Linked DNA regions of Canis lupus familiaris. The protein of the gene in region 1 interacts with the protein of each later gene in a pairwise test. Links are inferred from orthologs where the notes say so. Each region holds a gene or a part of one and is shown on either strand. Other genes may lie near its edges.

Evidence for each region.
Region 2: the proteins of ANKRD13A (region 1) and QDPR interact in a two-hybrid assay, tested with the Homo sapiens proteins (2 studies listed by BioGRID). The two-hybrid records come from large-scale screens. The link is inferred for Canis lupus familiaris from reciprocal best matches to the Homo sapiens genes ANKRD13A and QDPR.

What each region holds. Positions count from the first base shown.
Region 1 is NC_049247.1:17,499,110-17,502,918, reverse strand, and holds part of ANKRD13A (ankyrin repeat domain-containing protein 13A), read left to right. Parts: intron 1-514; coding exon 515-704; intron 705-3,809. UniProt on the Homo sapiens protein: Ubiquitin-binding protein that specifically recognizes and binds 'Lys-63'-linked ubiquitin. Does not bind 'Lys-48'-linked ubiquitin.
Region 2 is NC_049224.1:63,498,981-63,503,377, reverse strand, and holds the start of QDPR (dihydropteridine reductase), read right to left. Parts: upstream 3,082-4,397; 5' UTR 3,056-3,081; coding exon 2,957-3,055; intron 869-2,956; coding exon 776-868; intron 1-775. UniProt on the Homo sapiens protein: Catalyzes the conversion of quinonoid dihydrobiopterin into tetrahydrobiopterin.

The DNA.
Region 1 (3,809 bases):
CTACCTCCCCCCATCCATCTCCCCTTCCACTACCCCTTGTTTGTTTCCTAGGGTTAGGGGTCTCTCATGTTTTGTCACCCTCTCTGATTTTTCCCACTCATTTTGAGACTCTGTCTTATATCTCCATATATTCCCTCCATAAGAAGGCATGATCCTCCTAGTGGAGGGTGAGAAAAATGGTATTGCCAGTCCAGCGTTGTGCATAAACAGTTTACATTAATTAAGTAAATCATACATTTTTAAAAGTACACAGATGTATTGCCAACAAAGAAGGCAAATTGTTTTAAATGTCTGGAACTTAGGGGAAGATGACCTATGGGCTGTGGAAACTGGCCAGATAATCTCCATGTAAGTAGGTAGTCAATAATCAATAGTCTTTAGGTTTTATCTGATAGCACTTGGCTGGGGGGGAGGGGGGAATGTCAAAGATGATTCAGTATTTTAACTTTGAGCCTTCCTTGTTTTTGTATCTTCCTTGCATGGTGCTCAGTTACACTCTTGTTTCCATTAACAGACAACCGGGCAGAGCTGATGGAAGTCAACCATGATGACAGAGTGGTCACCACTGAGCATTTTGACCTTTCTCAGGAAATGGAGCGCCTCACTCTGGACTTGATGAAGCCAAAAGGCAGGGAAGTTGAGAGGCGGCTCACAAGCCCAGTCATTAATACCAGCCTCGATACTAAAAATATTGCTTTTGAAAGGTACGCATTAGGTTCTGCATTTTAATGTCTAATCCCTTTACTGCCATCTTTAGTGGCATATAGATATGAATTGGAAATTATGGGTGGATTGGGATTTTTCTAATATGGCATAATAAACATAGAGGGTTTTAATGTTGCTTTCTGTTCTAACCAAGTAGAAGCCATAGCTGACATCCTCTTTCATAGATCATTTTTATAACACATTGGTTAAGTCTTAGAGAAATGGCTTCATATTCTTTTATGGGCCCTTTATAATGGCTTTTACTTGAATTTTTTGTTTTGGTGTTTGGAGATCCACAGGCTCCCTAGTCCCAAACCATGCAGCTTTGAGATTCTGGAAGGTAGAATTGGCCCAGTGTTGATTGTGGTTGTACTGGCTAGTCAAATTCACATTTACCATATAGTTAAGTGTGGTCCTTTCCCTCTGTGAGGACTAACAGTTTAGAGCAAAAGTCTGGAGGTGTTTTCAGTTCTATTCCAGATTCTACCAGAAGAAGCTTCTGGAGAGGTTTGTGCCTTGGTTAACCTGGATGACAGCACTGTCTCTGGTCATCTGCCTCTGGGCATTGCAGAGGCATGGAGCACTTCTGAATGTTAATGGAAGTAGAGGCTGTCAGAGCTGTTGGCCTGAGTGTTTTTACCACAGGACACCTTGAGCTGAGGGAGTAAGAGCCCTGAGCGTTTGCCTAGGATGTCACATCCAGCTCTGTAAACCAAAGCAGCATAACCTGAGCTAACGTGGACACATATTATCCTGGATTTCGGCTTTACTCTAAATGAATGTACTGACTTTCCTCTCTTTTTCTTTTCTTGGTTTCCAGAAAATTTGTAAGAATGAGAGTTTTCTGTTGAGTCAGACATAAGACTGAAGTGCCTTTTTCTTCAGATTTAGGAATTAGGAATTAGGGCATCTATTAGTAGCAGAAGAGAAAACCAAAATGCCAGTTTGTGTGGTGTCTTGATACCACTGGTGCTTGGGGAGTGGTACCCCCAAGAGACAGGGTCATCACTGCCCCCCCCCCCCCCCCCCCGCCCCGTCACTAGCCTCCTTGCCCTGGCCTTGCCAGGTGATGGCTGTCTATTAGGAGCTGACTGTGGCTTTACCTGGGAGGGCCTGGGGAAGACCCCTGAGGCTTTGGCACATCCCTCTGTAGACAGAGCACCTTCAGCTAGGGCTCTGTGGTGAAGCTGGGAATAGAGGAGCCTCCCAACCCCGCCCCTCCCACTGCACCCCCTGCAGCCCAGCTGTGGAGATAGGGGTGGGAAGAACATGCCACTGACAGGGCTGCTGAAGTACCGTGCGGCTCTGGGAGTGGCTCAGTCTCTTCGGCTTTCAGTTTCCTTGAAGGAAAGAAAGGAGTGAATCTTGAAATGACGTTGCTAAAGTCCCCATGACCCTAAGATGTCATGAGAAGAGCTCCTGGTTCCTCTGGTTTGTTGGCAGCATTGTTTAAGTCTGTGTTTGCCAGTGTAATTTCCAAAGAGTGTGACGATTACTGGCAGCTGCCCCAGTGAGGGGGGTAGATGGTACATGAGGGCACATTCCATTTTTATGGAGGACTAAGGTACATCTGGTATTTGGTCACTAGGTCTTCAGAAGGTTCAAGCTAACCTCCTTTTGAAACCAATGGTTGGTTTTGGAGAGAGTGTTTCAGGAAGATGGCTGCTTTTTTTTTTTTTTTATGGTGCTCAGAATGCAGGCAGTCAGTGAGTTTCTTGTGCATCAAGCAAGGATTTGAGCCACTTGAGTTGTAGAAGAAGTGTGTACATATCCTTTCCACTGGTGGTGGGAGTGTGTATTTGTTTGAATTTGGAAGTTGTGCTCACTTGTGATAGTCGTTCTCCTCCATCTCTCTCCTCTGATCTGAGATTCTGATACCTGCTTCCTGCATGAGTTTTTGGCCTGCCAGTATGCACCCCCTGGCTGCAGTCTGGGCTTTTCTCTTCTCTGAAAGATTATGCTCTGCCAGACTTAAACAGAATGTTCCCTGTCACCCTCAGAGCCTTTCTCTGAATTGCTCAGTAGCCTGCAAGCCACAGTGCTTGCTCAGTGGCTTTTGGTATGGCAGTCTCAGTGGAGACAGGCAGAGGTAAAAATGGCAGAGGGGGAGCTAGGTGTACTGTCATTTTCAGATGTCTCTGCCTGTAAAGTTAATCAAGGGCCAAGGAGTTATAGAATTTGGGTTTTAAAATAGGACGCTGAATTTAATAAGCAAGCTGTCAGAATGGGAATGGAAAGGGAAGTGGAGCAGCCAGGATTGCCAGCCGAGCAGATGCAGAGGAGTGAGCTGCATGGCGGTCCCCAGGGAGAACCACACAGCTCTGCTTCCCCAGCAGGCTCGCAGGATGAAGGAGAGCAGACTGAGTCATCCTTTGGTACCTTGGAAGACTGTGTGCCAGAAAGCAGTTCTTTCCTAGGCCAAAATATCAAGTGACTTGGTGAAGGACAAGGAACTGAGGACTGACTCTGTTAACTTAAAAGGACTATCTTGATTTTCAATTATTGATGGCTAAGAGAGGACTCTGGTTTATGAATCAATGTGGACCCTAAGCCCTTTCCCCCAGGATTGCAGTTTTGTTTCTGAAAAGTGAAGTGGAAATAGCTAGCATTTGGTGTAATTCCTTTAGTGTTTCTCTCTCTCCCTCCATGGGTCATGCTGCATTAATTGTGGACAACTAATTGGAAGAGTAAAGCTCTGGTCCTTCCTTTCTCTGATGGGCTATAAACATACATGTAAAACACTGCATACCCCATCTGGACTAATGAAGGTGTTTGAAAGCATGAGATACAAATGACATGTATCTTCTTTGTGAGTTGGGCGATCTGGCAGTTCCTGGAGCTTCCTGCGTGACATCCCACTTCCTTCTGGGGTTAGAGCAGAAGGCAGACAGTTGTTCTATATGGAGCTAAGTGCAGCAGTCACAGTGGAGCTAGGATGTGATGTCCTAGACAAAAGGGCAGACCAGGCTGGTCAGGGTTCCCTTGTGAGTGGTAGTATTTCCCAGGGTGAGCTGCTTTGAAAAAGAACCAGAGTTTCTTGGCTGTTCTTGCCTCTAAATGCATTTTTCGCCCAGGAGTATGTTAAGTTGAATAACTGAGTTTTC
Region 2 (4,397 bases), on another chromosome or scaffold:
TGCGGGCTGCAGTGCTGGCAAGAGAACCAGAGTACAGTCCCCCAACCAGCTTGTGGGAATGGCTCTTCCAGAAAGATCAGCCCACTTAAGAGCATCCCTGATATTTATACCAAGACGCCCATCAACAGTGACACTATCATGGGGAGAAACGGGGTATTTCACAGTTTACTTAATATTTATTTGACTTCTCGTTTTACAATTAGCATATCATTTGATAATTAAAAATAACCTGTTTTGTTAGTATCCATGCTTTGAACCAGGAAGCTCCACTTTTTAGAATGCATCCTAAATAATCAGAGATGGAAACAAAGATGTTCACCACAGGATTCTTGATAATGGTAAAAAAGAAAAACTGCAAAACACATGTGCAGGAAGTGGAAACTAAGGAAATTAAAAATCACACGCTGACACACAGGAGTTTTTTTAAGTGGTCTGCAGTATTTAAATTAAGTTAAAAAAAGCTGACCATAAAATATAAAATACAAGATTATCTCAACTTATAAAACTAAAAACATATAGCATGCATAGAAAAGACAAGAAAATGGGCCAAAACGTGAACATTGAGCTATCTAGAAATGGATTACAAGTAATTTATCTTCTTTTTTGTTTTGTTTTTTTACTTTTTCCAAATTTCCCTCCATGAGCACAAATGGCTTTCACAGAAAATACTAGTTGGAAAAAAAAAGAACACACCACCAGTGGAAACCACTCCCCTCCTAGGGTCTCCCTACTACAGTGCTTGGGTGTGTGTGGGGGGGTCTCTTTCTGGAATTACCTGGTCAGCCTGCTCGGTAAATGAGTCTGTCATTTTAACCACCACGCTAGCACTGGCCTCTTCATTCTCCACCACATCAATGCTGGCAACCCACTGGCGTGAAAGAGAAAACAGCTTTGGTCAAGAGACAATAAGTTGTCATTCCATTAAAGATCCACATCCAGAAATGGGGGCAGTGGAGACAGATAAGAAGCTTAAAAGAAAACCCGCTAGAGAAAGGATCTCACTACTGACCTCTTGGGATCCTTACAGGGACATCTGGCTTCAGCCGGCCTACCCCTTACCCAGCCCCAGCCCAGCCCATCTCATCTGCCTCCAAACACCTCACCTTCCTCCTCCACTCTCACCTCTGAAGACAAACCCTGCACTTCTAGAGACCCTTAGACCAGGGGTCTGCAAAAATCTTTGGTGTAAAGGGCCAAATATTCTGCTAGCTTTACGGTCTGTGTTGCAAAAACTCAGATCTGCTATTGGAACCCCAGAGCAACCACAGACAATACAGATACATGAATGGGTGTGGCTATATTCCAATAAAACTCCAGAAATGTGAATTTCGTGTAATTTTCACATATCACAAAATAGTATTCTTTTTTTTTTTTTTTTTCTCCCATTTAAAAATGTGAAACCATTCTTAGTTCTTGAGCTGTACTGGCAGGCCAGGTTCAGCCTTTGGAGGACTAGTTTTCAGACCCCTGCCCCAGAGCACAGAGGGATGGCTCTGGGTCCTCATCCTGCAGTATTGTGGCTTTCTCATGGGGGTTAACAATTAACAAGGCTAGTGTGAAAATTAACTGAAAAAGCTCCAAGCACAAGTGACACCCAATTCTTTCTCAGAAAGTTCCCAGGGCCCCAAGGTCCACAGGCCCTGGAGATAAGTATCTCTACCACAAGCTTTGAAGAACACAGATTCCATTCAAGAACACTCACTACTTCCATGTCACCAGCCACAGGGGACACAGACACATACACCAGGTTGTAGCCCCTCCCAGAGCTGCTAGAAATGAAGGGGTAGGGAGGGGAGACAGTCAGAGGTAAATCAGCTTGCCAGATTTTACCAAGTGCCCCCACCAGGGGAACTCACAGCCCTCATATCTGTAACACATGGATACCAACAGGATCTGCTATATCCAAATTTGGAGAAGAGTAAATGAAATTAAGAGTATGTAGGAACACGGTGCCTCGCCCCTGGCCAACACTCCTTACAAGTTCCCCACTGTCACCCCTCAGACCCTGGAAGGCGCCTGTTGAGAGCAGGAAGGCGGTGGTGTGCTGAGAATCCCTTAGAAGTCCTATATCAGGTTCTGAGCTGGAAGGAAACCCTGGGACCCTGTCTCCCTGGTTCCTGCCGCTACTAACTAAACCCCCGAGGCAAAGCTCCCCAGATCTCCAGCACATTTTGTGCAAGTGACAGCTGCGGCGAGGAGAGACAGGGCGGAGTCTCCACCAGGATCGCAGAGAGGGTCTCGGGCCAGAGGTCAGCGCCACCCCTACTTGCACCCTACGGGGAGCAACACCTGACGATGCAAAGTAGTCGAAACAGTCTTCGCAAAACAAGAAGCCACCAGCATTTGCGGGGCTCCGCCTTCAAAATACCAGGTCCAGAGTGGACCGCAGGAACCGGGTAGTTATGGTAATACTCATGGCTGACATTTAAAGAGTTTTTACCACGAGTCAGGTGCTTTACAACCACACCAGTGATCTCATTCAAGGCGCACAATGCCCTAAGGGGTAAACACTAACGTTACCTCCATTTTACGGATGAGGAAAGTGAGATTCGAGGGCGTGACGCAACAGCGGCCCGCGCCTGGCAGTGAGATCCCAGAGCCGCCGCCTCGTTGTCTCTCCCCGACTCTCAAGCCCGCTCCTCTCCATCGCGCTCTGGAATTCTCTCGGGGCCTGGCCGAGCCCGAGCGAGCAGCCCCATCCCCCGCCTCCTTGCACAGCAAGGGCCGGGCACCGCGGGCGCAGCGTGGGCACACACGCGGAGCCAGCCAGCAGCCAGGCACACCTGCGATGCACGCGCAAGCACTCGGGCCGGTGCGCACACGGGCCCCAGCGCGGTCCAGCGCCCTCGCGGGCTGCCCGGGCAGGCCCCGATGCTCCCCGATCACCAGCGCGCACACCTGCCACCCAACACCAACGTGCCGCTCGCCCCAGCCGCGGGAGACCCGGCCCAATTACCCAGCTGCGGGCCCGGAACGCCTGCACGCATCGGGAGCCCAGCGCGCCCCTGCCGCCGTACACCAGCACCCGGCGCGCCTCGCCCGCCGCCGCCGCCATCCCGCTGCTCCCGCCCGGCTCGCCGAAGGCCCAACGCCCGGAGCCGGAGCGCGGCGCCCGGGGTCGCCCGGCCCCGCCCCGGCCCCGCCCCGGATCGCCCGGCCCCGCCCCGGCCCCGCCCACCGGCCAAGAGGGATCGCGCGGCCGCCAAGCCTGCGCGGGGCCCGCGGCTGCCGCCTAGCGCGCGGTCCCGCCGGACGAGCCCCGCCGCCCGCCTGTGGGTGCCCGGCACCTGGGGCTTGCAGGGCGCGGAGCTAAGGGCCCCCGGGGAGGGTGGAGAGCAGGTGTGCGCTCACGATGCCGAGAGTCCGTCGGGCCGACGGCACAAACCACGCATATATTTTACCTTCAAATAAGAGTGCAAGGGACGCCTGGGTGGCTCAGCGGTTGAGCGTCGGCCTTTAGCTCTGGGCGTGATCCCGGGGCAGAGGGCGGGGTGCTGGGATCAAATCCCCCATCGGGGGATCCTCTCCCTGAGAGGAGCCTGCTTCTCCCCCTGCCTATGTCTATGCCTGTCTCTGTGTGTGTCTCTCATGAATAAATGAATAAAATATTTTTTTAAAAAATAAATTAAATAAATAAATAAGAGTGCAAGCTCTGAAGCTCGACTCCCTGTCTAATAGCTGTGTGTCCCTACGCAACTTACTCGGCGGCTCTGTGCCACAGTCGCCTCTCGGTAAAATGGGAACGCTAATGGTCTGTCCTCCTAGGATTTTGGAAAGGATTTTTCAAAATGATACTAAAAACAGTGTGTGGCTAGTAGTAGGAGTTCAATAAATGCCGATTGAGCATTATTAATACTATTATTTTTGCCACTACTTCTGTTACATCACTGCACTTCTTAGAGATTGTGAGTTTGGGAGAAAGAAAATGCCAGGCTGTTTTAGTGGGGGCAGTTGGTACCATTTGGTGGGGCTTAACTGTGGGCCTTCAACATTCTTGTCAAATGGAGTCTTATATACAGTCACAGAGGTCCAAGGACACTATTATAGGACCTGCATCTTAAACTGTCTCTACCAGACCAAAGGCCTGCTGTCCCACGTGTAGTCAAATTTTTTAGAACTCTTGTAATAATTTTCGTGGTCTTATTGTTGTTGTTTCAAAAGCACTGATTTGTGAAGTGTTAAACATTTAAAGTATAGTATGCTACAATTTTTGTATCACTGTTTTGGCAATATTATACATGTTTTGTGTCACCCTCCCACCATACAGTGTTGTACAAAGCAGACACACAGATGTTTGCTCAATACACTTGTGCCAGATAAGGCACACAAAAATATGTTCTTAGGGAACAGGATGCAGCCCACAACACCATCTATTATCAGAAGCTTCATTATCAGGA